Callithrix jacchus: one gene and its partners. The protein of the gene in region 3 interacts with the protein of the main gene of each other region in a pairwise test. Links are inferred from orthologs where the notes say so. Each region holds a gene or a part of one and is shown on either strand. Other genes may lie near its edges. The genes, in order: CASP10, RFC5, XIAP, NEK6, ERCC3, SSX2IP and PPIH.

The links.
Region 1: the proteins of XIAP (region 3) and CASP10 interact in binary tests that used the Homo sapiens proteins (3 or more experiments, as listed by UniProt). The two-hybrid records come from large-scale screens. The link is inferred for Callithrix jacchus from reciprocal best matches to the Homo sapiens genes XIAP and CASP10.
Region 2: the proteins of XIAP (region 3) and RFC5 interact in binary tests that used the Homo sapiens proteins (3 or more experiments, as listed by UniProt). The link is inferred for Callithrix jacchus from reciprocal best matches to the Homo sapiens genes XIAP and RFC5.
Region 4: the proteins of XIAP (region 3) and NEK6 interact in binary tests that used the Homo sapiens proteins (3 or more experiments, as listed by UniProt). The two-hybrid records come from large-scale screens. The link is inferred for Callithrix jacchus from reciprocal best matches to the Homo sapiens genes XIAP and NEK6.
Region 5: the proteins of XIAP (region 3) and ERCC3 interact in binary tests that used the Homo sapiens proteins (3 or more experiments, as listed by UniProt). The two-hybrid records come from large-scale screens. The link is inferred for Callithrix jacchus from reciprocal best matches to the Homo sapiens genes XIAP and ERCC3.
Region 6: the proteins of XIAP (region 3) and SSX2IP interact in binary tests that used the Homo sapiens proteins (3 or more experiments, as listed by UniProt). The two-hybrid records come from large-scale screens. The link is inferred for Callithrix jacchus from reciprocal best matches to the Homo sapiens genes XIAP and SSX2IP.
Region 7: the proteins of XIAP (region 3) and PPIH interact in binary tests that used the Homo sapiens proteins (3 or more experiments, as listed by UniProt). The two-hybrid records come from large-scale screens. The link is inferred for Callithrix jacchus from reciprocal best matches to the Homo sapiens genes XIAP and PPIH.

Annotation. Positions count from the first base shown.
Region 1 is NC_133507.1:122,282,010-122,285,509, reverse strand, and holds part of CASP10 (caspase-10), read right to left. Parts: intron 1,846-3,500; coding exon 1,710-1,845; intron 1-1,709. UniProt on the Homo sapiens protein: Involved in the activation cascade of caspases responsible for apoptosis execution. Recruited to both Fas- and TNFR-1 receptors in a FADD dependent manner. May participate in the granzyme B apoptotic pathways.
Region 2 is NC_133510.1:121,071,747-121,075,730, reverse strand, and holds the start of RFC5 (replication factor C subunit 5), read right to left. Parts: upstream 2,801-3,984; 5' UTR 2,676-2,800; coding exon 2,611-2,675; intron 2,399-2,610; exon of another isoform or gene 2,268-2,398; intron 152-2,267; coding exon 87-151; intron 1-86. UniProt on the Homo sapiens protein: Subunit of the replication factor C (RFC) complex which acts during elongation of primed DNA templates by DNA polymerases delta and epsilon, and is necessary for ATP-dependent loading of proliferating cell nuclear antigen (PCNA) onto primed DNA.
Region 3 is NC_133524.1:119,628,224-119,631,723, reverse strand, and holds part of XIAP (E3 ubiquitin-protein ligase XIAP), read right to left. Parts: intron 861-3,500; coding exon 761-860; intron 1-760.
Region 4 is NC_133502.1:172,878,106-172,882,348, reverse strand, and holds the start of NEK6 (serine/threonine-protein kinase Nek6), read right to left. Parts: upstream 2,801-4,243; 5' UTR 2,665-2,800; intron 2,543-2,664; exon of another isoform or gene 2,397-2,542; intron 1,046-2,396; exon of another isoform or gene 926-1,045; intron 1-925. UniProt on the Homo sapiens protein: Protein kinase which plays an important role in mitotic cell cycle progression. Required for chromosome segregation at metaphase-anaphase transition, robust mitotic spindle formation and cytokinesis.
Region 5 is NC_133507.1:37,182,580-37,186,643, forward strand, and holds the start of ERCC3 (general transcription and DNA repair factor IIH helicase/translocase subunit XPB), read left to right. Parts: upstream 1-1,264; 5' UTR 1,265-1,332; coding exon 1,333-1,360; exon of another isoform or gene 1,361-1,560; intron 1,561-1,696; coding exon 1,697-1,902; intron 1,903-2,553; coding exon 2,554-2,790; intron 2,791-4,064. UniProt on the Homo sapiens protein: ATP-dependent 3'-5' DNA helicase/translocase. Binds dsDNA rather than ssDNA, unzipping it in a translocase rather than classical helicase activity. Component of the general transcription and DNA repair factor IIH (TFIIH) core complex.
Region 6 is NC_133508.1:121,877,399-121,880,898, forward strand, and holds part of SSX2IP (afadin- and alpha-actinin-binding protein), read right to left. Parts: intron 2,207-3,500; coding exon 2,131-2,206; intron 2,051-2,130; coding exon 1,873-2,050; intron 1-1,872. UniProt on the Homo sapiens protein: Belongs to an adhesion system, which plays a role in the organization of homotypic, interneuronal and heterotypic cell-cell adherens junctions (AJs).
Region 7 is NC_133508.1:79,296,039-79,300,217, reverse strand, and holds the start of PPIH (peptidyl-prolyl cis-trans isomerase H), read right to left. Parts: upstream 2,801-4,179; 5' UTR 2,777-2,800; coding exon 2,711-2,776; intron 2,646-2,710; exon of another isoform or gene 2,457-2,645; intron 2,403-2,456; exon of another isoform or gene 2,374-2,402; coding exon 2,309-2,373; intron 1,987-2,308; coding exon 1,963-1,986; exon of another isoform or gene 1,872-1,962; coding exon of another isoform or gene 1,846-1,871; intron 1,695-1,845; coding exon 1,650-1,694; intron 349-1,649; coding exon 306-348; intron 1-305. UniProt on the Homo sapiens protein: PPIase that catalyzes the cis-trans isomerization of proline imidic peptide bonds in oligopeptides and may therefore assist protein folding. Participates in pre-mRNA splicing.

The DNA of each region.
Region 1 (3,500 bases), on a different chromosome or scaffold from region 3:
TCTTGTTTAACAGTGGAGAAGTGGACTCGGAAAAACATAGATATTTAGCATATTGACACATGGTGAGGCAGCCAGGTTTGACTTCTGTCCTATATAAAATATCACAGCAGAACTACCTTTATCAGACAGACTTAAAAAAAAAAAAAAATCTGGGTGAGTTGGCTCACGCCTGTAATCCCAGCACTTTGGGAGGCCAAGATGGGCAGATCACGAGGTCAGGAGTTAAAGACCAGCCTGGCTAACATGGTGAAACCCCATCTCTACTAAAAATGCAAAAATTAGCCGGGCATGGTGGTGCCTGCCTGTAATCCCAGCTACTTAGGAGCCTGAGGCAGGAGCATTGCTTGAACCCGGGAGGTGGAGGTTGCAGTGAGCTGAGATTGCCCCACTACAACCCAGCCTGGGTGACAGAGTGAGACTCTGTCTAAAAAATAAAAAATAATAATAATAATAAAGTTCTTCTTTGATAGTCGTTTCTGAGAATGTGAAGTCTTCATTACTTATCTCTCAGTAACAATAGTCACATGTATTGAATGCTTATTCCATGCCAGACAAGCATTTTACAGAAATTATCTCATTCAATCCTCACAAAAACCTATGATGTGGGTACTATTATTATGCCCACTTTACACATGGGAAAAGTGAAACAGAAAAGCCAAAAAAGTACCACTGCACCACGAATAAGCGGAGTCCTGGCAACCTCACTATAGACTCCACTCTCACCCCAGGCTATCCTGCCTTCTTTTTTATGTCATTTCATTTAAAACAATTTCATACACTCTCACTCCCATATTAGAATCAGAAAAAGATGTTTGTCTAAAACTATTTCCCTGCACTGAAATGTAAGTTCCAAGAGGGCAGGAGCTTTGCTCTGTACTTTGCTATATCCCCAACTTCTTTTTTTTTTTTTGAGACTGAGTCTAAGTCTGTTGCCCAGGCTGGAGTGCAGTGGTGTAATTTCGGCTCACTGCAACCTCTGCCTCCTGGGTTCAAGCAATTCTCTTGCCTCAGCCTCCCAAGTAACTGGGATTACAGGCACACACCGCCATGCTCTGCTATTTTTTTGTATTTTTTTTAGTAAAAATTGGGTTTCACTGTGTTGCCCAGGCTGGTTTCGAACTCCTGAGCTCAGGCAATCTGCCCGCCTTGACCTCCCAAAGTGCTGGGATTACAGGCATGAGCCACCACGCCCGGCCATCCTCAACTTCTAAAACAGTGCCTGGTACAAAATATGACCTCAACTAATGAATTCAATATGAACAAAAGGAAGATTTCTGGCTTTTCTAGTAGAATATTACCAGAATGATGAGTAAACATCACACACGGGCGTGGTGCAGTGGCTCACACCTGTAATCCCAGCACTTTGAAAGGCTGAGGCGGGTGGATCACTTGATGTCAGCAGTTGGAGACAAGCCTGGCCAACGTGGTGAAACCCTGTCTCTACTAAAAATACAAAAATTAGCCAGGTGTGGTGCCAGGTGCCTGTAATCCCAGCTACTCAGGAGGCTGAGGCAGAAGAATCACTTGAACCTGGGAGGCGGAGGTTTCAGTGAGCCGACATCGCACCACTGCACTCCAGCCTGGGTGGAAGAGTAAGTGAGACTCTGTCTCAAAAAAAAAAAAAACCCCAAACAAAAAAAATCATGCAAGGCCAACTGGGTTAAGAATGTCCATGGTCTTGTGCAAGTTAGCAAGCACAAGCTACTTACCTTTCTCTCTTTTATATTTCTCTATGTTTCTCAAAAGGTTAGGTACAACCTTTTCGCAGAGGTCCTCCAGGACTGTCAGATTATCTTCATCTATTTTATGTTGTTTCTCTAGAAATGCCAGTAACCCTAGAGAGGTCTACAAGAGAATCAATAGAATTACACTTCCTTCCCTACTGATTATCCACTCACTCAAATGTTACCTGCATGGCCACGAGGCACTAGGTTTTGCACTGATAAATAAGATACGACAGCATCTGCCCTCACATTGCTCAGGAGTGTAGAGGAAGAGGCATTACCAAGCAAATATGTATACAATCTATATTAATACCAGGTACCAAATATATAGAATTATACAACAGGAGCCATGCTTGCTGTATATTAACATTACAACAACTGAATGAGTAGATACTATTATAATCCTCATGTTAAAGATGAAATAATTGAGGCACAAAGAGGTTCCAGTAACTTGCTCAAAGTCACAAAGCTAATAAATGGCAGAACTGATACAATCTGATGCCACAGTCTATCTCATTAACCACTGAACTCTAACTCACTGCTTTAAGTGATACTGATTAGGGAACCAGCAAAAGAGGAACACCAAAGAAATGAGGGGGAAATGTTCTGAAAGAATTTTAAATTTGGTGTTTTAAAAGAAAAGGAATTCTCTAAAAAAAAAAAAAAAATCACAATTTGGGCCGGGTGCAGTGGCTCACACCTGTAATCCCAGCACTTTGGGAGGCCAAGGTGAGCGAATCACGAGATCAGAAATTTGAGACCAGCCTGGCCAACATGGTGTAAACCCCATCTTTACTAAAAATACAGAAATTAGCCAGGCATGGTGGCGGGTGCCTGTAGTTTGAGCTACTTGGGAGGCTGAGGAAGGAGAATTGCAGAGGTTGCAGTGAGCAGAGATTGCATCACTGCACTCCAGCCTGGTAACAGAGCAAGACTCTGTCTCAAAAAAAAAAAAAAAAAAATCACAATTTGATGAGCATTTTTTTTTATTTTATTATTTTCTTTTATTTGAGACAGAATCTCAGTCTGTTGCCCAGGCTGGAGTGCAATAGTGAAATCTCGGCTCACTGCAACCTCTACCTCCAGAGTTCAAGCGATTCCTCTGCCTCAGCCTCCTGAGTAGCTGGGATTGTAGGCACGTGCCATCACACCCAGCTAATTTTTGTATTTTTAGCAGAGAAATACAAAAATAAAAATTTTTGTATTTTTAATAGTAAGTAATAGATTACTTACCCGCCGTTGGAAGAGGGCCTGAACACCCCTCAGCCAAAACAGAAAGGTTCTAAATTCATGTGGTCTCTCGGGGAGAATACAAATAACCTTGCCTTTGTAAGGGATTCTGGGATTTCTCTTTGAGAGCTTTCACAGAAACATAACCAGCATAGCTGGCCTACACACATCCTGAGAGATCTAACAACTGTCAGGAAATCCGTTCTCAGCATAGCAATCAGCATAGAATACTGAGTCTAAAGGAAACCACACCTGAACCTACTAACTCTTTAGCAAAGAAACAGAACAAGAGCTTTCAGACCTTTGCTGCTAGTATTTGCCAGAGTGGTATTCTTAAACTAATGTCCAGGTCCCATTTAAATGTGTGTGTGTGATGTACTAAGCATCTAATAAACTTTTAGAAAGTATAATGAATCTCCATAATTACTTCTGGAATCACATCTTAGCTCCTTGTATTCCTCCTGGTAGGATGTTTCAAGACATGAGTTTCTGGCTGGGCGGAGTGGCTCACACCTGCAACCCCAGCACTTTGGGAGGTCAAGGCGA
Region 2 (3,984 bases), on a different chromosome or scaffold from region 3:
GTTATTACTTAGGAGAGACATCACCACCAAGAAATTTATACAGATCCTTCAACCAGGACAAGAGCAACGGACACATGGATACTTACTGGTACTCAGAATGTCCTGATGAGAAATGAGATCATTCAGGGTCTGTGGCCGGTATTTCTCAACCCTGAAATACAATTTAGCAGGTATTATGACATATAAATGCAAGAACATTTTATATGCAAAAGAATCCTTGGCTGGGCATGATGCCTCGCCTGTAATCTCAACACTCTGGGAGGCTGAGGCGGGTGGATCATGAGGTCAGGAGTTCAAGACTAGCCTGACCAACATGGTGAAACCCCGTCTCTACTAAAAATATAAAAATTAACCGGGCATGGTGGTGCACACCTGTAATCCCAGCCACTCAGAAGACTGAGGCAGGAGAATTGCTTGAACCCAGGAGGTGGAGGCTGCAGTGAGCTGATATCACGCCATTGCACTCCAGCCTGGGCCACAGAGTAAGACTCCATCTCAGGAAAAAAAAAAATCCTTGTAGGCCAGGCACAGTGGCTCACATCTGTAATCCCAGCACTTTGGGAGTCTGAGGCAGGTAGATCATTTGAGGTCAGGAGTTCAAGACCAGCCTGGCCAACATGGCAAAACCCTGTCTCTACAGCTACCTCCTAGGGGCTCTGTACGGATCAAACATCTAACAGGGCATCTGCTAACCTAATAATACGCCATTCAATAAAAAAATAAGAAAAAAAATACAAAAATTAGCCAGGTAAGGTGGCATGTCCCTGTAGTCCCAGCTACTCAGCACGCTAAGGTGGGAGAATCGCTTGAACCTGGGAGGCAGAGGTTACAGTGAACTGGGATCACACCACTGCACTCCATCCTAGTTGACAGGGTGAGTGAGACCCTGTCTCAAAAAAAAAAAGAAAGAGAGAGAAAGAATCCTTTCATATCCTAATTTAAAAAGGAAGAAAAAGCACTTTAAATTTGAACACAGACAGTGGTTCTCAACCAGGGTGATTTCGTCCTCCTAGGAACATCTAGTGAAACATATTTAGCTGTCACACGTGGGCAGAGGGTCCTAGGCACTTAGTGCATAGTCTCTAGGAATGTTAAACATGCCACAGTGCACAGGACAGCTCCCCCAGACCCACCCAGAGTATCTTGGCCCAAAATATCAATAGTGCTGAGGTTGAAAACTGTTCTTATCTCATCTTTCCAGCTGTTTGCCTATAATCTCAACCTGATGGGCACCTACTATTTCAAAGTGCATTTGAAACTGAACTCATACCCAAATAGCCTTCAACAGAAGAATGGATAGGTAAAATGTCTTCTGTCGATACAACGGACTATGATTCAGCCGTAACAAGAAATGCAGTACTGATACAAACAGCAACATGCATGAACCTTGAAAAACTGATGCCGAGTGAAAGAAACCAGACACAAAAGGCCACATCATGTAGGATTCCACTTACATCAATGTCCAGAATAGGCAAATCCATAGAGACAGAAAGATTAGTGGTTGCCAGGGGCTAGAGGAAGGGGAGAATGGGGAGTGACTGTCAAGGGTACAGGATTTGCATTTGGGATGATGAAATTTTGGAACTAGATAGTGGGAGGACTCCACAACAGTACACTGCATTCTGAATGTACTTAATGCCACTGAATTGTACACTTTAAAATGATTACGTGCTGGGCTTGGTAGCTCGCCTCTAAAAGTTCCAGTGCTCTGGAGGCTGAGGCAGGAGAATGGCTTGAACCCCAATGTTTGAGGTTAGACTGAACTGTGATCACACTACTGTGCTTCAGCCTGGGCAACAGAGCAAGACCCTGTCTCTAAAAAAATAAATACATAAAATAGTTACAACTGTCAACCTTATGGGATTTTTTTTTAAAAAACCACAATAAAAGCAAATTGAACTAGCTACTAGACAATGACAACTTGGAGCTTTCAAAACCAAGCCAAATTGCATCAAAGTCTTTAGAGCACTGCTAGGACATCGCTGTTGAAGTAGGATGGTTAACAGTACAAGCTCTGAATTCAGACTTCCTAGATTCACCTCCAAGCCTATTTTCTAGCCCTGGACCATAGGCAAGTCATTTAACCTTTCTAAGATGCAGTTTCCTCCTATGTAAAATTTGAAGCGGTGCCTACCTCCTAGGGTCTTTGTAAGGATCGAACATCTAACAGGGTGTCTGCTAATCTAGCAATACGCCATTCAATAAAAGTTGACCAGGGAGCGTTATTACTCGTTTAAAATGTGACCAATAGTCGCATCGCAGGTTTTGAAGAGTGGGAAGAGGACATTTTGGCATGGAGGCCAACGCAGGTGTCAGAGGACGCAGGATCGAATCCCTGTGCTGTCACCAGGTGCGAAAGCCGCTTTCTTCTTCGGCAAATGGAGCTGGGTGTGAAAGGGTAAGAGCTGGCAAAAGTCCTAAACAGAACGGACGAGTCTGGGGACCTGGGGGGCATCGGGGGAAACCTCTGCGGCTCGGCCCCGACTGCAGGCCCGGGAGCGGCGGGGCAAGATCGGGCTGGGGTCCGGTCACCTGCCCACCCCGGCCACCGCCTCCCCGCGCGGCCGCCCGGCCCCCTCTGCCCACCGCGGCCGCTTGGCCTCTTCCTACCAGGGCAGGTTCCTGATCTTGGCCGCCGCGGGTTGCTCCTGCTGCTTGAGCGCTGAGGTCTCCATGGCGGGGAGACGAAGGCGACCAGATCCGCTGAGATCGTCGCGTAACTCAAGCGCCTGCACAGCGACCAGCCGCGACCTGACCCTGAGACCCTTGCACTCAGAGTTCGCGCGCAAAAACAACTCTCGCGATAAGTGGCCATCGGTTTCCGACTTCCTCCCTGGGTCCCGCCTCCTAGTGTTGCCAGGGCGCCGGTTGCTAGGTTACCAGAGGGGCCAGCCGCCAGCTAGCTTCCAAGCTCCACCTCTCCAGCCTGCTCGGAGCTCTCAGATACCTAGGCGCTTCCAGAGCAGGGGATCGGGAGAGGCAGGGCGCCCTGTAGCCCTGGTCATTAGCACCTATTAAGATCTCACGGCCAAAGCCAATTCCTGCCATAGCCAAACTTCAAACACTTAACGTTCAAACGAACAAAAGCTTTCGGGGCTCAAAAAAAATATTTTTCTAAGTAAAAAACAGCACCCGAGTAACACGGCTGGATCTTGAATATACATGCCCTTGTGAAAAAGGCTCACAATACCTCTCGGCCCCAAAGCTGGGGGTGGGGTGAATATTTGGAAATGAAAACAACCCCAAACACACATAACTGCAACCTACCTCTCTCCGGAATCCGTGCCCCTCACCCAACAAAATTTAGAGAACCAACCACCGGAAAACTACTCCAGAGAAAAACAAACAGAAACTTCCAGTTGGGTTCATCTGTGTCGCTGGAAGGATCTGGTTCATGAACACAGAGGACAGGGTTTCTGCGATCTGAGATACTGAGGAGAATCGTAATCAACATTTTAGTTTTTTTTTTTTTTTTTTCTGAGTCGAAAAGATTCTGGATCATTTTCATTTTCTTCTTTTTTGTAGGTCCATCTTTCCTTTTCTTTCTTTTTTTTTGAATCTCACTCTGTCACCTCGGCTGGAGTGCACTGGCATAATTTTGGGTCACTGCAACCTCTGTCTCAAGGTTCAAGCGATTCTCTGCCTCAGCCTCCCAAGTAGCTGGGACTGCAGGCACGTGCCACTATGCCCAGCTAATTTTTGTATTTTTAGTAGAGATGGGATTCGCCATTTTGGACAGGCTGGTCTTAAACTCCAGATGTCAAGTGATCCACCTGCCTCAGCCTCCCAAAGTGCTGGGGTTACAGGCGTGAGCCCCCGTGCCTGGCCTGGTCTGTATTTTCCAGCAATGAGCATGCAAACCATCGATATTGAAGTCTCTCTCTTTTTTTTTAACGTGATGAGGAAGAGAAAAATCTTTGGAGGATTTTCGAGGCTGGCCTGGGGTCAGCAGTGTTTTGATTAGGAGGTAGCAGTACTCCTTGC
Region 3 (3,500 bases):
AACATGGTGAAACCCCGTCTCTGCTAAAAAATACAAAAATTAGCTGGGCGTGGTGGCAGGTACCTGTAATCCCAGTTACTCAGGAGGCTGAGGCACAAGGGGCGGAGGTTGCAGTGAACCACGATCAGGCCACTGCATTCCAGCCTGGGCGACAAGAGCAAAACTTCGTCTCAAAAATAAAAACTAAAAAAAAAAAATGGGATAATCTGGCGAGGCACGGTGGCTAACAACTGTAATCCCAGCACTTTGGGAGGCTGAGGCGGGCCAATAACCTGAGGTCAGGAGTTCGAGACCAGCCTGGCCAACATGGTGAAACCCTGTCTCTACTAAAAATACAAAAATTAGCCAGGCATGGTGGTGGGTGCCTGTAATCCCAGCTACTTGGGAGGCGGAGGCAAGAGAATTGCTTAAACCCAACAAGCGGAAGTTGCAGTGAGCCTAGACTGTGCCGCTGCATTCCAGCCTGGGCAACAGAGTGAGACTCTGTCTCAAAAAGTAAATAAATAAAATAAAAAATAAATGGGATAATTTGAATGTCATAGATATGATACATAAGCAGTGGATGTTTTGGTGATACATAAGCAGTGGATGTTTTGGTCATCAGAGAAGGCTTAGGTGGGTTTTTTCCTCATTTTTATAAATCTGGCATGAATTTCAAGCCATAGTGAAGGCAGAAATCGTTGAGGCAAAAAGTAATTCAAGTCTCCCACTGCATGCTATCCAATTTGCCTGTGAATGAATGAATAATTGAGTATCTTACCCTGGATACCATTTAGCATGTTGTTCCCAAGGGTCTTCACTGGGCTTCCAATCAGTTAGCCCTCCTCCACAGTGAAAGCACTTTACTTTATCACTGTCACCTAAGAAAACATACAAGAATATATGTATTTGTGCGACTAGAAGCTTACACAAAAATATTCAGTTAACACCTAAAAATTAAGCACATCTAAAAAACATGAAAATCTCACAGCTTAAAACAAGACATTCAAATTCACATCTAAGTAACACTTACAATCTCTATCATTTGAGGAAGAAATACTAAATTCACTGATTCAATCTGAGGTATTTTTACAGAACAAAAATAAAACTGTCCAAGTTTTATGTCAAAATTAAGATTGCGACTTTCTTTTTTTTTTTTTTTTTTTTTGAGACTGAGTCTTGCTCTGCTGCCCAGACTGGAGTGTAATGGCACAGTCTCAGCTCACTACAACCTCCACCTCCTGAGTTTAAGTGATTTTCCTACCTCAGCCTCCCAAGTAGCTGGGATTACAGGCATGCACAACCACACCCGGCTGATTTTCTATATTTTTGGTAAAAACGGGGTTTTACCATGCTGGCCAGTCTGATCTCGAATTCCTGACCTCAAATGATCCGCCTACCTTGGTCTCCCAAAGCGCTGGGATTATAGGCGTGAGCCACTGCACCCAGCATACTTTCTTTTTAGTATGTTATTTGGGCCACCAATATTGTACCTACTGTTTCAAACTGTGAAACTTTAAAACAAGTTATTTTCCAAGTGTTAGTAACATTAAAGTTCTACATAATGGAATTATGAGATAAGTTTCCCTAAGTTTATAGCCACATGACACTAAACAAACCTTCAAGATTACTATATAATGGTACATAAATAAAAATCTTTTGAAATAACCAATATTTTATAGGAATTATTCAATCTTAAAATAAATGGGTCAAATATATAATGGCATAATTTTTAAAAATATCTTTAGAAGCAATTACACCAATGACCCTTCCTGGCATGTCTACCATAGTTCATTTGAAAAGCACTCATATGAAGCACCAAGCATAATACAAGGCAGCTTCCATATATATACTTTGTGTACTAAAGGCAGATGTCAATTTTACTACAGCATGAGCCAAACTAAACTCTCTAATGTTAGCTCTTTTTATAAAGTTATTGTGGGCCAGGCACGGTGGCTCACACCTGTAATCCCAGCACTTTGGGAGGCTAAGGTGGGCAGATCACCAAGTCAAGAGATCAAGACCATCCTGATCAACATGGTGAAACCCTGTCTCTACTAAAAATACAAAACAGCTGGGTGTGGTGGCTCGCATCTGCAGTCCCAGTTAATTGGGAGACTGAGGCAGGAGTATTGCTTGAACCCAGGAGCGGGAGGTTGCAGAGAACCGAGATTGCGCCCTGCACTCCAGCCTGGTGACAGAGTGATACTCCATCTCAAAAAAATAAATAAATAAATAAAGTTATTGGGAAGATAAGCATGGTAGCTCACGCCTGAAATTCCAACACTTTGGGAGGCTGAGGTGGGCAGATCACTTGAAGTCGGGAGTTTGAGACCAGCCTGGCCAACATGGTAAAACACTGTCCCTATTAAAAAACACAAAAATTATACAGGTGCAGTGGTATGTGCCTGTAATTCCAGCTACTCAGGAGGCTGAGGCACAATAATAGCTTGAACCCAGGAGGCAGAGGTTGCAGTAAGCCAAGATCATGCCACTGCACTTCAGTTTAGGTAATGGAGTGAGACTCTGTCTCAAAAAAAAAAAAAAGTGCCAGGTGCAGTGGCTCACGCCTATAATCCCAGCATTTTGGTAGGCTGAGGCCAGCGCATCACCTGAGGTGGGGAGTTTGAGACCAGCCTGACCAACAAGGAGAAATCCTGTCTCTACTAAAAATACAAAATTAGCCGGGCGTGTTGGTGCATGCCTATAATCCCAGCTACTCGGGAGGCTGAGGCAAGAGAATTGCTTGAACCTGGGAGGCAGAGGTTGCAGTAAGCTGAAACTGTGCTATTACACTCCAGTCTGGACAAGAGTGAAACTCCACCTCAAAAAAAAAGTTATTAAAGTTATTGTGGGCCAGGTGGTCCAGTCTGGGCAACAAGACTAACAATCCGTCTCAAAAAAAAAAATTATTAAAGTTATTATGGGCTAGGTGTGGTAGCTCATGCATGTAATCCAAGCACCATGGAAGGCCGAGATGGGCAGATCATGAGGTCAGGAGATTGAGACCATCCTGGTCTTGGTGAAATCCCAAAGAAGAGAAGGGAGGGGAGGAGAGAAGAGGGGAGGGGAGGGGAGGGAAGGAGAGGAGAGGGGAGGGGAGAGGAGGGGAGGAGAGGGGAGGGGAGGGGAGGAAAGAAAGGAAGGGAGGGAGGGAAAAGGAAAGGAAAAAAAGAAAAAGAAAAGAAAAAAAAATTGTGAAGCTTAGAGAAAATGCATGAAGTATACATACTGTGCACATATAATAGGTGCTCAATAAATCAAAGTATTTTATTGGACCCATTTTGTTATTGGAGATGTCTACCATCTTTTGCATGTTATTACTTCCTAAAAACAATTACATGAAGAGAAATGTGACTCATAATATGGTAGTCTTTTTCACATAAGTTCAGTAGTTACGTTACAGGTTCAACATAAGAGTTCACAGAATAAGATGAATATAGGTATAATCATGCCAAATTATACCTAAATATTTACCAGTTCAGGGGGCTAAAGGCATCTATTTACTTTTTAGGAGCCCT
Region 4 (4,243 bases), on a different chromosome or scaffold from region 3:
CAGTGCTGGGGGGTGGACTGGGTGAAATACAGCACCAGACCTAGCACATAGTATATCCTCAACAAATGGGGACAAAACTGGACACAGTGGCTCATACCTGTAATCCCAGCACTTTGGGAGGCCGAGGCGGGTGGATCACCTGAGGTCAGGAGTTCGAGAGCGGCCTGGCCAACATGGTGAAACCTTATCTCTACTAAAAATACAAAAATTATCAGAGCATGGTGAGGCACTCCTGTAATCCCAGCTACTCAGGAGGCTGAGGCAGGAGGACTACTTAAACTCAGGAGGCAGAGGGTGCAATGAGCGAAGATTGTGCCACTGTACTCCAGCCTGGGCAACAGAGTGAGACTCTGTCTCAAAAAAATATATAAATAAATAAGAACAAATGGGGACCATTTGTCGTGGTGCTACTTTAATGAAACTATGCAAGTCACGTCTCCGAACTTCGGTTTTCTCATTTGCAAAATGGAGAAAATAACCCCCATCTACAAAGAGAATAAAATGAATGGATGTGTGTTAAAGTACTCAGCACTAGGTCTGCACACCTTAGCCAGTCAAATATCAGATCCATATCCTTATCATATCATATTCCAGGTGCAATGGAAAGAGGAAAGGCTGTGAGGTTGGTCAGGTGACTTAGGATTCTGCCCTCACTTCCTCTCAGCTGCCCCAGGACACAGGCTTGACCCCTGTGTGCCTCAGTTTCCTTGTGCACAAAACCAAATGCCATTTTCTGCCGCAGAAGGCCACTGGGATAGTCACACTCCCCAGAACGGCTCCCAGCACACAGCCCCTTCTGCGCCGCAAACAGGAATTTCCTCCCCCTTCCCCTCCTCTGCCCCTGTTCAAACCCACCAGAAATGCCACCTGGTAAAGCCAGGCGCTCCATTTCTGGAAACCCAAACAGCTCTAAATCCAGACCAACCTGGGTCTGAGGCCTTCAGTCTGAGACTTCATTTTGTGGAGATAGAAAGTACTTTTTAGTCATTTCCGAAGCAGACGGGATGGCATAGGCTGACAAACCACAGGGACCATTTTAAATCCTGGGCCTTTTCTTCTGGGAAGTTAGGCAAGAACCTTCCCAAATGTTTGCCCGTCAGGCTCTCTGCCAGGGAGTGACTCATTCCATGGCTCCCCACAGGCATATTTTATTTGGGGGTGGGGGACGCAGGGAGGGCTTGGCCTTGATGGGGGAAGGAGAAGGGGCATTTCCAGCAAACCCAGAAAGCGGTTTTTTGTTTTTTTGTTTTTTCTCATTTTCAGGACAAAAAGAAAAAGAATGTGGGTCTTTTTCGCTTCCTTCCAGGTTTTGTTTGCTAAAAGAGGACGTCCAAAGTTCACTCCCTAAACTCAAACTCACTGAGTCTGGGGCAGGCGCTTCCAGCCGGCTCTGCGTCCCTTTCAATGAAATTCTTCTTCCATTAAGGACACGGTTTTTAAACGTGCCTCCAAGACCCGCCCGCACGTACTGTACACCAAACTAAGACGACATTTTCCCCCCAAAAAGGCAAACTGAATTTTCAAGAGCCAGAGCAACTAGGGAGTTCTAGAGTTTCTAAAGTTTGCCTTAAAGCAATTATGACTTTCAGCTGCAAAGATTTTCAACAGTTGGAGAGCGCGCACACACACACAAAAGCCTGTCAGTCAAAATTACAAGGACAGACCTCGGAAGCTGGTGTCCCAAGCCCGCTGCGATCAATGTGTGACTGTCCTGGGATTCACACTTGGAGCCCAGGCGAGGTATAAATAAATCAGAGGATCCATCTACTTAGTAGGGCAGGCAGAGAGGCCCCCACATACACAGATAAGTCTGGGGTCAGCCCCCCAGGCCTGGCTGTAGAGAGAACCAAGAACAAAGGCAGGGGAGCCGGAAGGGTATTTAGGAAAACTGAACACACGTCCTCGGGTGCCAGGCCGAGGGGCCCCCCAAAGGCCTCGCTGGCCCAGCCTGTGTGTGTAGGGAGCGTCCTGCCAGTAACCTGGCTCTGAAACCGCCTGTCAGGCCCAGTCAGGCTGAGTCTGTCCTCCCGGCCTCTGGTTCACCAGATCAGGCCCAGCCCCGACCCCCAGCCCACGCCAGGCCGCTTCTCTCTCCATGGGCTCCCTGGCTTGGGGGCCATCACTGTGCAAAGGCCTGGTGGGCGCAAAGGGGGTCCCTCAACCTCTGTACGGTCCTACACATTCGTTACACTCACACCCACACAGGCACACTTTCGCCCTCCTAGGCTCAGGCATATGCGTGCACACAAATCACTTTGGAATGCACACACGTGCTCATACACATTCCCTGAGACCCGCACGGACTCCCTGCGGCGCCCGGCACACTCCTCGGCCTGTCGTCCCCACTCGGGAAGTGGGATGCGGGGAGCCATGCCCGCGTCCCCCCACGCACTCACCCCAACGCCACCAGAGGCTCCGGGGTGCACACGCACACCCGCCGGCGACGCGCACACCCCAGGACACGCGGACACGCCGCCCCCGCCCGGCCGCCGACACGCTCAGCCCCTCGCGGCCACACACGCGCCCGCCTCCCGCTCTCCCTGCGGAGCCCCGGACGCGCGCCCGCTCTCGGCCCGGCTGGGAGTGACGGCCCTGCCGCCCGTCCCCCGCCCCATCCCAGCCCTCAGGGCCCCACCGGCCCGGCCCCGGCCCCAGGCCACTCACCAGTGAGCGGGCGGGCTCGGCTGCCGCGGGGGGACCGGCGCGCGGGCCCGCGAGCGGCCGGAGCGGTGCGTCCCACAAGAGTTGGCGGCGCTGCGGCCGCACGCCCGTCTGCTTGGTTCCGCCGCCGCCGTCGCCTGCGCGCGCCCGCGCGCGCGCGCCCGCCCCTCCCCGCCGCGGGGCCGCGCCGCCCCCTGCGCTCGTGCGCGCTGCCGCCACGCAGGCTTGAGGGGCGGGGGCCCCCCCGGCGGCGTCCTCTCTGGGCCTGGACCCCTCGACTCCTCTAAGTCCTGCGGACGGCAAGCAATCCTCTCCGCCAAGGACCCCCTTTCCCATTTTAGAGATGGGAAAACTGAGGCCCAGACTCACAGGGCGCAGGCCGGTGTATTCCCCTCTTCCCGGGCTCTAGACTTAGGATGAGGGTCTGCAGTCAGCCGACCCTGGGACTCCTCCCGTGCATCATCGAATCCTCCATCGCCTAGCATTGCTCCTGCCACAGTCCTAGTCAGACTGAACTTGGCATAGTAACAAGCACTTATTGTGCACCAGCTGAATGCAGGCACTGAATTAGGCTCCAAGAGTATTCCCATGTGGGGAAGCCCCCCCTCCCCGCCGCCCTTAAAGTGCCAGCGACTCTCCATCTGGAGCTCTCACTTCCTGTGGCCCCAGGGACCAGCAAGAGCCAATGTGCAAAGGTTTCTGGAAGTAGTAAATGTCCCCTCTAAAGAATGCTGAACGCCCCCTTTAGAAGTCAGAGTCTCCATGGGACCAAAAGGCAGCAGCTCAGTTCTCACTTCGCCTCCTCCTTGCACCGAGAGTGGCCACTCCTGGTTTCTACCCCTGCTGCCTCCCCTCCACATTCAAAACTGTGCTGCATCCCAGGAGGGCTGCAGCCAGGGGCACTGACTGCCTGCTATACACCCAGCTTGGGCACGGTGCTGTACTGGGCACAGGGTGAATGCCTGTAGGGCTTCTGTTTGCCAAATGAGTGGAGGTTCTTGGACTGGCCATGTTCTATAATAATGACACCAACTGAACGTCCACCGTGTGTACCAACCTTACCCTTGTGCCCATTTTACAGATGGGTTTAATGAGGCCTAGAAATGAAATTTCAAGCCAGGTGTGGTGGCTCACGTCTGTAATCCTAGCACTTTGGGAGGGCAAGGCAGGTGCATCACCAGAGGTCAGGAGTTCGAGACCAGGCTGGCCAACACGGTGAAACCCCGTCTCTATTAAAAAAATATAAAAACTAGCTGGGCAAGGTGGCGGCCACCTGTAATCCCAGCTACTTGGGAGGCTGAGACAGAATTGCTTGAACCTGGGTGGCTGAAGTTGCAGTGAGCTGAGATTCTGCTACTGTACTCTAGCCTGGGTGACAGAGCGAGACTCCATCTCCACAAATTAAAAAAAAAGAAATTTCAGGCTGGCATGGTGGCTCACACCTATAATCCCAGTGCTTTGGGAGGCTGAGGTGGGAGGATGGCTTGAGGCCAGGAGTTTGAGACCAGCCTGGACAATATAGCAAGATCCCATGTCTACAAAATAATTTAAGAATTAGCTGGGTGTGGTGGTGCCTGCCTTC
Region 5 (4,064 bases), on a different chromosome or scaffold from region 3:
CTGAGTCTAGCACCTTTTAAAGGTTTGATAGGAAACATTTATCATCTATTATTTCTCAGGGTGGTCACCTATGTGACTTCATCTACATTAAGCTTGCCTGACCCGTGACCCACATGTGGCCCAACACAAATTTCTTAAAACATTGAGTTTTTCTTGCAATTTCTTTTCTTTTTTCTTTTTTTTAGCTCATCAGCTATCTTGGTGTTAGTGTATTTTATATGTGGCCTAAGACAATTCTTTTTCTAATGTGACCCACGGAAGCCAAATGATTGGACGTGACACCCCTGATTGAGATAATAAGAACCTTGATCTCCCAGACATTCCTTTCAATTGGTTTCAGGTTTTTTGATAGTAAGTCTTTTTTTTTTTTTTTTTTTTTTTTTTTTTTTTGCAGAAAATGATCTATTTAGGCAGAGAAAGAAAGAAAGAAAAGAGAGATCGAGCTCCCACGTTGCGGTGGGAGGGGATCCAGAGATGGAGTCTGCACAGAGAAGGAAGGACAGCTCCCACACTGTTGTGGGAGGGGTAAGTCTTTCAAGGAATTGCCTATTAGAAAAATCTTTTAATCCACCTATGACCTACCTGAAGCAACCCCGCCCCCCACCTTGGGCACATGGTCTCAGGATCTCTTGAGACTGTGCCTCTTGCCATGGTAGCTCATCTTCGGCTCAGAGTAAGTACTTCATAGAGTTTGATTCTTTTTGTGGACGCTTTCTGACCAGTTATAACGAGCTTCCATGTAACGTTGATGCTGCCCCCTCTCCTCCACCACTCGCTCCCCTTTCCTCTCAAACACCCGACACACTGGGCCTCAGGTGTGTGGTGTGTGGTGTCTGCGTTCCCGACTGCTGCTCCTCGGATGGCATTTACATGGGACAGCGTCTCACTTTCCTCGGACTTTTGCTCAAAGACCGTCACCAACAGAGAGCGATTCCCTGACCACTCCATTCAACATGGCACTGCCCTCACTCAGGCCCTGTTTGAGTCTTCCTCAAAGCACTTATCACATTTTTGCGCACATCGCTTCATTAGAATTTACGTTCAAGGAGATGAGGCCTTTAACTCGCGCACTGCGCATGTTCTCAACACACAGTATTTTCCTTCAGCATTAGAGTAATGAATGGTGGAGGACGCCCGCGGCAGGCACACTGATAATCGCTAAGCCGCCGCCGGCTCTACGCTCATCCCGCCCTGCCAACACAGCGCTGAGAGGCGGAATTTCCTGTGTGGACCTCAAGAAGCTTCCGGAGTGAGCCGGAAGTCCACTTGAGAGCGGAAGTAGCGGCAGGCTTGCGGTAGTGGTTCCATCTTCACTCTGTTGCCGTAGCTGCCATGGGCAAAAGAGACCGGGCAGATCGCGGTGAGACGTGACGCGGGCGCGCTCAGCCCCGACTGCCCTCGCTGACTCTGCCCCGGCTCTGCTTTGGAGCTGCTCTGGGCTTACCCGCGCCGGCCGACCCCGCTGGCCCTGCCGCGCGCGCAACCGGTTGCGACAGGCCGCTGGGCAGAAGAGATGCTGGACCTGGGCGCAGCCCAGAGAACTCGGCCGAGGGGAGGCGGGTGAGGGGCGCAACGCCTGCGGGATGCAGGTGGCTCTTAGCTAGGAGTTTGCGCCGGCGCAGGTGAAATGCTGCCAGACAGTGCGGAGGGAACCCTAGGCTCCTTCTGGGCTTACTTCTGTGTTGGTATCTTGCAGACAAGAAGAAATCCAGGAAGCGGCACTATGAGGATGAAGAGGATGATGAAGAGGACGCCCCTGGGAACGACCCTCAGGAAGCGGTTCCCTCCGCGGCGGGGAAGCAGGTGGATGAGTCCGGCACCAAAGTGGATGAATATGGAGCTAAGGACTACAGGCTGCAGATGCCGCTGAAGGACGACCACACCTCCAGGCCCCTCTGGGTGGTAAGGATGCCCTTAGCTTGGGCGGGGCCCAACAGTGTGCGGAGCGGCATTCTCAGAGTCAAAACTCACATTCGGGTTACTGCCCCCAGAACCGGTTGGGAAAGAACTTTAATTTACACATGTTGGAACAGCTCAAGACATCAGCGAGCAGTTGTGCACACGTGTGCCGGCCGGACCTGGGCCTCCTCCAGTTCTAACCCCTCAGTTTACTCTCACTCCTTCCCCAGCCCTACCCCATGTAGTAAATACTTGTATCTGTGGAATAAATAGCATTTGTCATGTAACAATTTGTTTCCCCATCTGAAAAACTAATGGAAGACATGTTCGGTAGCAAGCTTTTGCTCTGCTTAAAATAATGTTCTACATTCAGTTGAAATCTAGCCAAAAGGTAACTTGAGGATAGCTAGTAAGATGGGCTTTCTCTGTGCAGAATAGAGGGAAACAGCTGCTGACTTTGGAAACATTTTCTTTTATTTTTCTTTACTCATCTGTATCTCATTAAAGTAACAGGTCCCACAGTTGTCTGAAGGAGTGCTTAGAAGAATATCTGTGGTGTTAGGCAGCTTATTCTTGATAAGGATATGGGCAAGAGTCCAGTAGTCCCTGCAACTCATGTTTCCTTGTCTGTTCTGTCCATTTGGTGTTTCTCAGGCTCCTGATGGCCATATCTTCTTGGAAGCCTTCTCTCCAGTTTACAAATATGCCCAAGACTTCTTGGTGGCTATTGCAGAGCCAGTGTGCCGACCAACGCATGTGCATGAGTACAAACTAACTGCCTACTCCCTGTATGCAGCTGTCAGTGTTGGGCTGCAAACCAGTGACATCACTGAGTACCTCAGGAAGCTCAGCAAGACTGGAGTCCCTGATGGAATTATGCAATTTATTAAGGCAAGTGGAAGCCGAGGCCAGCAATTCCACCTGCCTTACTAATGTAACAACGGGCATAGGTGCTCCATGTTGTCAGCCTGTGGCAGCCATGAGAATATGCCATTCACATTTCCTGTGGGGAGCATAACGACCAATTACCCCAGGTGCTACATTCTGGATTCAGCATTCTGTTCTGGGTGAGGCCATGCTTCTCATGAGCTGCTCCTAGCCATGGGTATTGACACAGAGGGGCTACTATTTCAGGCCCATTCTAGCCAGGGAGAATTTGGGAATGTAGCCCAAAGTGGGTGTGCTGGGGACTGAATTGTGTTCCTCAGATTCTGTCTTAAAAACCTAATACCCAATGGTAGTGTATTTGGAGTAAGCAGTTAAGACTAAATGAGGTCTTGATCCAATATGATTAGTATCCTTGTAGGAAAAGACACTGGAGGATACTTTCTCTCACCTGCCCTCCTTGTCATGTGATTAAATGGAAAGGAGGTCCATGGACAAGAGTCTTGACCAGTAACTGAATCAGCCAGTACCTTGATCATGGACTTTGAGCCTCGCAGCTCTGAAAAAATACAGTTCTAGTGTTGAAGCCACCTAGTCTGTGGAATTTTGTTATGTCATCTCAAGGTGACCAACACAGGTTGTAAACTCTATCTAAAGCTAAGTATCTGCAGGAGACCAGTAGTCAACAAGTTCTGTGAGGGAAAGTCAAAAACAACTTCAGATGTTGTTTTTTTGCAAAACAAAGAGGGTTCCATGTGATTAATAGTTGAACGTACTGGGTTTCTTCTGAGAGGTGGGTGAATGCCATTTAAAAGAGACAGTGGCTTTCATTGCCTTTGGCTATCTAAAGGGAGTCAGAGTCAGCCCTTGGGATCTGGAATCACAGAAGAGTGCTGCAGGAATTCAGTATGATACTGGACCCAGTCCCAGAGAAGCTGCAGGAGTCCTGGAGAGAGTTCTCTTTTCTTGTGATGTGAAAGGATGCCTGGCCAGGTGTGGTGGCTCTTGCCTGTAATCCCAACACTTTGGAAGGCTGAGGCAGGCGATCACCTGAGGTCAGGAGTTCAAACCAGCCTGGCCAACATGGCAAAATCCCGTGGCAAAATCCTACTAAAAACACAAAAATTAGCTGGGCATGGTAGTGGGCACCTGTAATCCCAGATACTCAGGTGAGATACCGAGGCAGGAGAATCACTTGAACCTGGGTGGCAGAGGTTGCAGTGAGCTGAGATAGCACCAGTGTACTCCAGCCTAGGCAACAGAACAAGACTCCGCCTCAA
Region 6 (3,500 bases), on a different chromosome or scaffold from region 3:
TGCACTCCAGCCTGGTGACAGAGCGAGACTCCATTTATTTCAAAAAAAGAAGTAAAATAATTATCGCACATTTCTCAGATTGAATTCTGTAACCACAAAGTGAAAATTTAAAAATTCGGCCAGGCACAGTGGCTCACACCTGTAATCCCAACACTTCGTGAGGCCAAGGTGGGATGACTGTTTAAGCCCAGGAGTTCAAGACCAGCCTGGGCAACACATCAAGACCCTGCCTCTAAAAAACCAAAAAACAAAACAACAAACTCACCTAACCTGAATTTTTGGTATATGTTTTAGTTACAGGTAAGTCAGTCAAATAATAAATGAAACTGGGATGCTACCTAGGCATTCCAACATTACATCTCATTTCTCTTGCTATAATGCTTCAAAAATCTTTCCCTACAAAAATTAAAGAGAAAATGGAGCTAGAAAAATGGATCTTTTAAAAAGATATTTAAGAGATTATTGTTTGTCCACTTAAACATTTGAACTATGAAGAATTATACATGATACTACCCACTGGCTGAGTAATGGCAGTGAAGAGGGTTTAATCATCTGAGAAAGATCACCCCTGATTTACTATATACTGAAATGCTGACTGAAATCTGGTGATAAGAGGTTAAGGCTGGACCAAAAACTGAAGATGCTGCAGGAGTAACAGATACTATACTAACCTTGAAGAGTTATTAGTGAATGTTAAGAACTGACTAGAAGTGACAGAGTTTGAGAGAAAAGATTACATATAAGAGGACAAGCAGACCTCGAAGTGGAGAATGTAAAATATTCAAGTAATAATAAAAAAATGTTAAGGAGAAAAAAAGTAAGTGGTGAAATGGGCTTATCAGCTGGACTGATTTGTGATACAACAAAATAAATAATCCTCAAATATACAGGTTTAAAAAACAAGTTGTGGTGCCTTGCTGTTAACTAGTGTTTTCTATCAACACTATTTTCAGATTTTAATCACTGTCAACTTGCTGAAACCTACAATTTTAACTTATATGCAAAGCAATTAAGTAAAATAAACTTTTCACCATTATGTGATGTTTTTTCAGATCTCTGCATATATATTACTGCCTTTCTATGGAATACTTTCTCCACGTTTTATTTTTAACCTCAAAAATATTTATGTTCTAAGAAGCAGTGAAAATGTCACTTTTTCTGTGATGGACTGATTGCCATAACTGTTCTTTTCTGCACTTTGTTCTACCCTATTCCAGCACCTGACACATGTAATAATCACTTCTTCACATCTGTCTCTCCCAAAAAGAGCTTCTTGAGGGAGAAAGTCAAAATCTTTTTAGTTTTTCCCTTCCAGAGACTAAAACATAAAGGACATTCGATAAATTTATAAACTGATTATTTGGTTCCCAAAGTTAACAAAAGTTTCACTCTCTGGAAAGTAGAGTACACAATACTAAAACAATTGAAAGGTTATTTGACATAGTGGTTATGATGGTGAGCTTTGGAGTGAGACAAACTTGGACTCAAATTCTAGCACTGTCATGTGTGATACTGGGCTACTAAGTATTACACCTTAGTTTCCTTATCTCTAAAATGGGAATATTTGTAGTATCTAAATCATCAAATTATAACATTTGAAATAATCTCATGTATTACAAAGAATATTTTAAAAATGAGATAATGCTTATAAAACACTTCTTACAGTGCTTGACATGTATTAATTCCTTGGAAAATCATCTCCAGCATTTTCCAGGGTATGTCTGAAAACACAGGAACAGTCTTTTTGGTTGTCACAGTAACTGAAAGTAGCATAGCAGTGAGTGTCCTATTCAAAATACCAATAGTGTCTCCATTGAGAATTATTCATATTAGCAATCTGAAGATTATATCAGAGAGGAAAGAGTCACTTACAGTTCCTGTACTATCATCTACTCTTTCCCTGGGTTTCTTCTTTTGGGGAGAAAGAAGAGAAATCATTTCCTTTTTCATCTGCTGAAGAACCTTCTTAAGTTCAGCATTTTCCATTAGGATTTGTTTCTGACGATATTCATAATCATTCAAGAGAATTTTATACATTTCATCTTCATTCCTGAGAAGGAAACTTGTCAGTATAAAAATGTAGTATAGAAGGAAGTCTGATTACATTTGTCAATTTAAACTGGACTTTACCTGGCTTCAGTTTTACCAGTCCTCCAGGAGCCTCTTTTTCCATCAGCTCTACCAACATAATTCAAAATGTCCATAGCTACAAACGCGAACACACAAAATTAATTCTTACCATACGTGCTTAAGTGTCTAAAACTCTAATGCATTCTATATGCATAAAAGTGGTGTAAGTGAACCTGGTATATAAGTTAGGGTTTGGGCTCAAACAGCCTAATTTTTGAGTTTCTAATTCCATCACTTGTAAGCAATGATATCTTGGCACGTTATTTAACTGCTAAGCCTCTTTCTTCTTGGACACTGGGAATAACAAAAGTATCTACCAAAGAGTGAAGGCAAATGTTAAAGCACCTAACAGTAGAGGTAAACACAATATCTGGCACACAGTAAGTACTTTATCCTTATTAATTTTATTATTGAGGTTGGCTGGTAATAGCCAGCAGGCTGGCTGACTGATTTGATAAATAAAGCTTTATGGAAACACAGCCACATCCACTTGCTTACATATTGCCAATGGCTACTTTTCCCGCTACAATGGCAGATAAGCAGGTTCAACAAGTTGTAGATCCCACAAAGCTGAAAATATTTACTATATGGACCTCTAAAGAAAAAGTTTGCCATGCCCTGTTAACATCATCATCTTCATCAAAGGAGTCAAAGCTCCTGACAGCAGTAATATCTTCTGCTGCAGGTGGCCATGGAAGCATGTGGCATAAGAAGAGTGAGTTACTGTAATCTTAGAGTTAATAAAATCATTATGAAACTATCACTTATAATTGGACCAGGAAACAGCAAGACCCCTATACTGTAAGAGCTCTGTTTCCAGAACTAAATCCTTAACAAACTTCTCTATGTTACATTTCATACCTTCAGCATTTCGTCCTCCTTTTTAATCTTTTTCCCTTCATGAATGAACATGAGGTTAACTAACCTTAAAAACCAGTGATTGTCCTAACGAGTAAGATTAACTCAGGATATCTAAAGATTTCCAATCTTAACTGCATATTACTGAATCTTGATTTCTATTTTTCAATAATTTAAAAGATGAAGTATTCAGATGCCTGCAACAGCTCTGCTGTAGAATGACAGTGATGTAGTCAACACTAAACTGCTTGCTGACAGCAGGCAGTCTATGACATGACAGCCTGAAATGTACGCTCATCAACTGTTTTTCAAATCTAAGGTAAGACAGTTTAGGGGTGTCATGGTATAATATAGGTTAGAGGACTGCCTATAGTCACTTGGAAATCACTCTTCAATAAATAAATCCACACACTTCTTGTGTCTCTTATTTATATTGGGCCAGCAAAACTGTATTGTAAAGCTCTACTTTTGTGTTTCTTTACTTTTTAATCTATACTATGTGAACTTATGCA
Region 7 (4,179 bases), on a different chromosome or scaffold from region 3:
ATTTCTGGCTCAAAAAGGCTGAGATTTGGACCATGGAAGTTAATGTCCCAATCAAAGTGCTAAAGTCTGTTATGTAGAGTCCATGGTACCCAGCCACTTTCAAGAAGTTCCCTATCACCATTCTCATCAAACTTGGCTATTGTTCTCAGGCCCTGTAGGTATCTGTGGGGTGATCAACACCCCCATTAAACTTGGCTATTGTCATTAGGCCTTAAGACTGGGTCACTATAGTTAAAACAGCAGCTGTAACAATAACAACAAAAACTAAAACTGTAGGTCTTTGATTGGAAAGGAATAATACTTACATTAACAAAATCTCCACCCTGAATCATGAAATCCTTTATGACCCTGAAACAGAGAGCAAAGAATACTGAGAGAAGATTTTATGGTTTAGAAACACATAGACTTTGTCATTATTATATTAGATTAACATTGATTTCAAAAAACACTATCACTTTGGCTTATAAAATGATTATTCTTAGCCGGGCACAGAGGCTTACACCTGTAATCCCAGCAATTTGGAAGGCCAAGGCAGGCAGATCACATGAGGCCAGAAGTTCAAGACCAGCCTGGCCAACATGGCGAAACCTCTTCTCTACTAAAAATACAAAAATTAGCCAGGCATGGTGGTGCATGCCTGTAGCCCCAGCTACTCAGGAGGCTGAGGCAGGAGAATTGCTTGAACCCAGGAGGCAGAGGTTGCAGTAAGCCAAGATCATGCCACTGCACTCCAGCCTGGGTGACAGAGTGGGACTCTGCCTCAAAAAAAAAAAAGATTTTTCTTTTCCTGGAATGATTAAGCTGAAAGGATAATTAACCATAAAAAAGGATTTTAGTTACAAATTAGGGCATGTTAGAATTGGTCAAGTACATGATCTGGTGCCTGAACAGTAACATGAAGAAGGGGCTAAAAGCCTGCAGGAAGAATGACCACAGTACTTGCCTGGCAGATCAAGGGCTTAATGTAAATTTGCGGGAAAGAACTACAGAGAATTTATGTGAAATGGACTGCTACACGTGTCAGGGCTTAACAGTGGTTAGCTATTACCCCTAAGGAGGGCCCTTAACCTTTCTTATCCTGTTTTCTCCTCTGTGGAATACAGATAACACCTCCCACTTCAAAGGAGTCTTACTGGGGATTAGTGACCCACAGCTTTAAAGCTGTGATATAATTACATGCTAATGTTGTTACTAACCACAGTGAGACCATGAGAAAGATTGTATATTGAAATGAGACTCAGTGTTGCTATACTCCACTCCCCAGGAAATATGATTATCTTTGGACAATCGTACATGATAATTTTAGGAATTATAAATATCAACCAGCAGGATATATTATATGCACTTTAGGATTACAACTGTATTTTTTAAAAAATCTGCATTAGTACAAACAGGTGCATGAAACGGACAGGATATTGTAAAGATAAGTAGTTTCTGTTTTAAAGACATAAAAAGAAGTGGAGAAGTATAAGTAGAGTTAGAACATTTAATAAATCTTCAGTTGTTGAGTCCACAGAACCATTTCTTCTCAAGAAATGTAAGAATTACCCTCTGGTTTTATTTTCCTTTTTAAATTTTATTTTATTAGAGCCTAATCCCCCAGGAAGTACTTCTGAAAGACTCCAGGATGGCTTGCCAAAAAGCCTTACCTGTGGAAGGTGCTTCCTTTGTATCCTATTGGAACCCCATCTTTTCTATAATCAAAAAGAAAGAGAATTAGAGTGATAGCAGGTAGCACAAGGCCCTTCCAATCTACCATGCACTGGAGCCAAAAGGACTCTCCTAAACAGGGTTAACAGACATAAAGAAGGCAAACCAACTAGGGATAGACCCTTGGGGTATTACCTTCTATCACTGTCACCAGCAATCATTCAAGGCCAGCAGGTGGTTCCCCGTACCCTCACTGCAGCCCAGGACACCCCTCTGGAGCAATCAAAGAAGTCAAACACGTCTGAAACTGACCTGAATTCTCCGGTGCAGAACTGCCTGAAAGAGACAAAAAGTGAACGATTCAATCACTGTGACATCACAGTTGTGAGCTCCTCTAAAGACGGGAAAGAATAAACACTGGAGCCAGCAAGTCCACCAATCGGCCAGCCAGACGTTCAGACACGCAGACATACAGACTAACAACATAAATTGACTCGGGAACAATCAAAACGGCAACCATTCAGACAGAGCAATGCGCGGAGGAATCACATCTCAAGAGCAGTGAGCGGACGAACAGATGTAGACAGGCTATTCAGGCGGCCGACTGGGGCTCGGCTTCTGCCTCAATTAATCCAGCAGAGGTGGAGCACGTCCTTACCTAAAGTTCTCGGCCGTCTTAGGCACAACGTCTGCAAAGAGCTCGATCTTCATGCGGCCAACTTCCTGCAATCAGCGGGAGACTGTCAGAAGGCCTAGTCAAAGACCATGAGGGCTTCAACCATGATCAGGGGGCATAATGGACTGACCCACCACCCTGCCGCTCGTTATCTCCCACCTCCACCTCCCTGGCCTAACCTTTCGTTCCGCCCAATCTCTCCAGAAACAGGGCGCTAGGATTGGGGAGACTCATCCTCCTCCTTTCCTCCCCCTCCCGGCAGGTAAGTTCGGGTGCAATTTCACTTTCTGGCTTCCCGAGTCCGCTCTCTCTGGGTGAGTTCTGCCTGCCTAGCCCCGAGCAGTTTCCCTTCGGCGCAGGTGTGGGCAGCCTCCTGGATCTCACCTGACCGCCAATGCTGACATCAAAGAACACCACGGGGTTAACAGGGCTTGAATTTGCCACCGCCATGGCTGTGACCCGGAAGCAGAAGTCGGGAGCGTGGGATTCCGGCAACCCTAAAGCCCAGTCCGCGGGTTTCGTCCGTGGAGCAGGCGCGGTAGACGCGGAACAAGACCAGGCCCCGCCCCCGGAAGCTGTCTCTCCTCGCGGTTTGTGCTGAGGGTGCTGGGGTTGAGCTGAGAGACTCCCCCTGAGACTGGGGACGCTAGAGTGAGGAGGAGGAAAACCTTGACATCTTTTTGGTTAAGGTCAATGGTCACCCCACTCACGTGGCTGTATTAAGGGCTTTTGAATTAGGCAGTTCCCGGGGTTCTCCTTATCAGCTCTTGCAGCCAAGCCCTCTGCACAGCCACACGTGCTGTGTCTTGTCTTCTGCCGCTAGTGTGTGCACACCGTGAAGGCAGGAACTCTGGTTCATCCTCACCGTTTAGAACAGGTTGGCACGCAAATGCTTGCTAGGTGAATACTTATTCCTTCCTCGAAGTCAGTACAATAGATTATGTTTCAGTTCTGCCACAAGCTTCCAGTTTTGTCATTTCCAATTCATTTCCCACAGAGCAAATAGAGTTTTTTATTTTCAGAATAACTCTTGTGCTTATAAATCACTCCTGGCTTCCTATATTCAGAATAAAATTCAATTCCTTACATACAAAGCCCTACAGTGCATTTATCTAGCTGTCATCTACCTGACCTCATCTTGTGCCACTTGCCCTTAATTACTGTGCTCTGGCCGGTCTGTTCCTCTAGGTCACTGAGATCCCTCCTCTCTTTAGGGCCTTGTAATAGCTGTTACCTCTGTCTGAAATATTCCTTCCAGATCTTAATGTGGTTTAGCGGAGGAGGGCGGGGGGAGCGGGTGTTGGTTGGTTGGTTGCGGTATGCCTGTGGGAAGTAATGTTTTTATAGTTCAGGGCTCGGCCCAGATGTTATCTTCTCAGAGGCAACATTAAACCTAATCTAAAGTAGCCCTTGGTCATTCAGATCACTGGTTTGTTTTCTTCATGCTACCCCCGATTCCACATTATCTTTGTATGGTATGTGTCTACACCTCACTTCCTGCCACACACACATATATCTTCCTCCCTAATAGTATGTAAATTCCATGAAAGTAGAGACTCCTGGTCCTGTTCACAGTGTAGCTGCAATGTCTCCTACTGAATAGCACGTACTAGATATTCAATAAATATAATATATTCAAAGAATTCAGTGAAAGACGGGGACCTTGGGCAAGGCTCATTCAAATAACAGCATGCATTTAATAGTTATTATTTCCTATGTCCTTTGATCATTTTTTCTAGCTCTGTCCTCTGAGGAAGCAAGGATTGCATATAAAAACCAGTGTATATAAAGAAAAGACACAAAACAAAAATAAGAAAAAAATATTAAAAAATCCAGTGTATCTCAATTTAAAG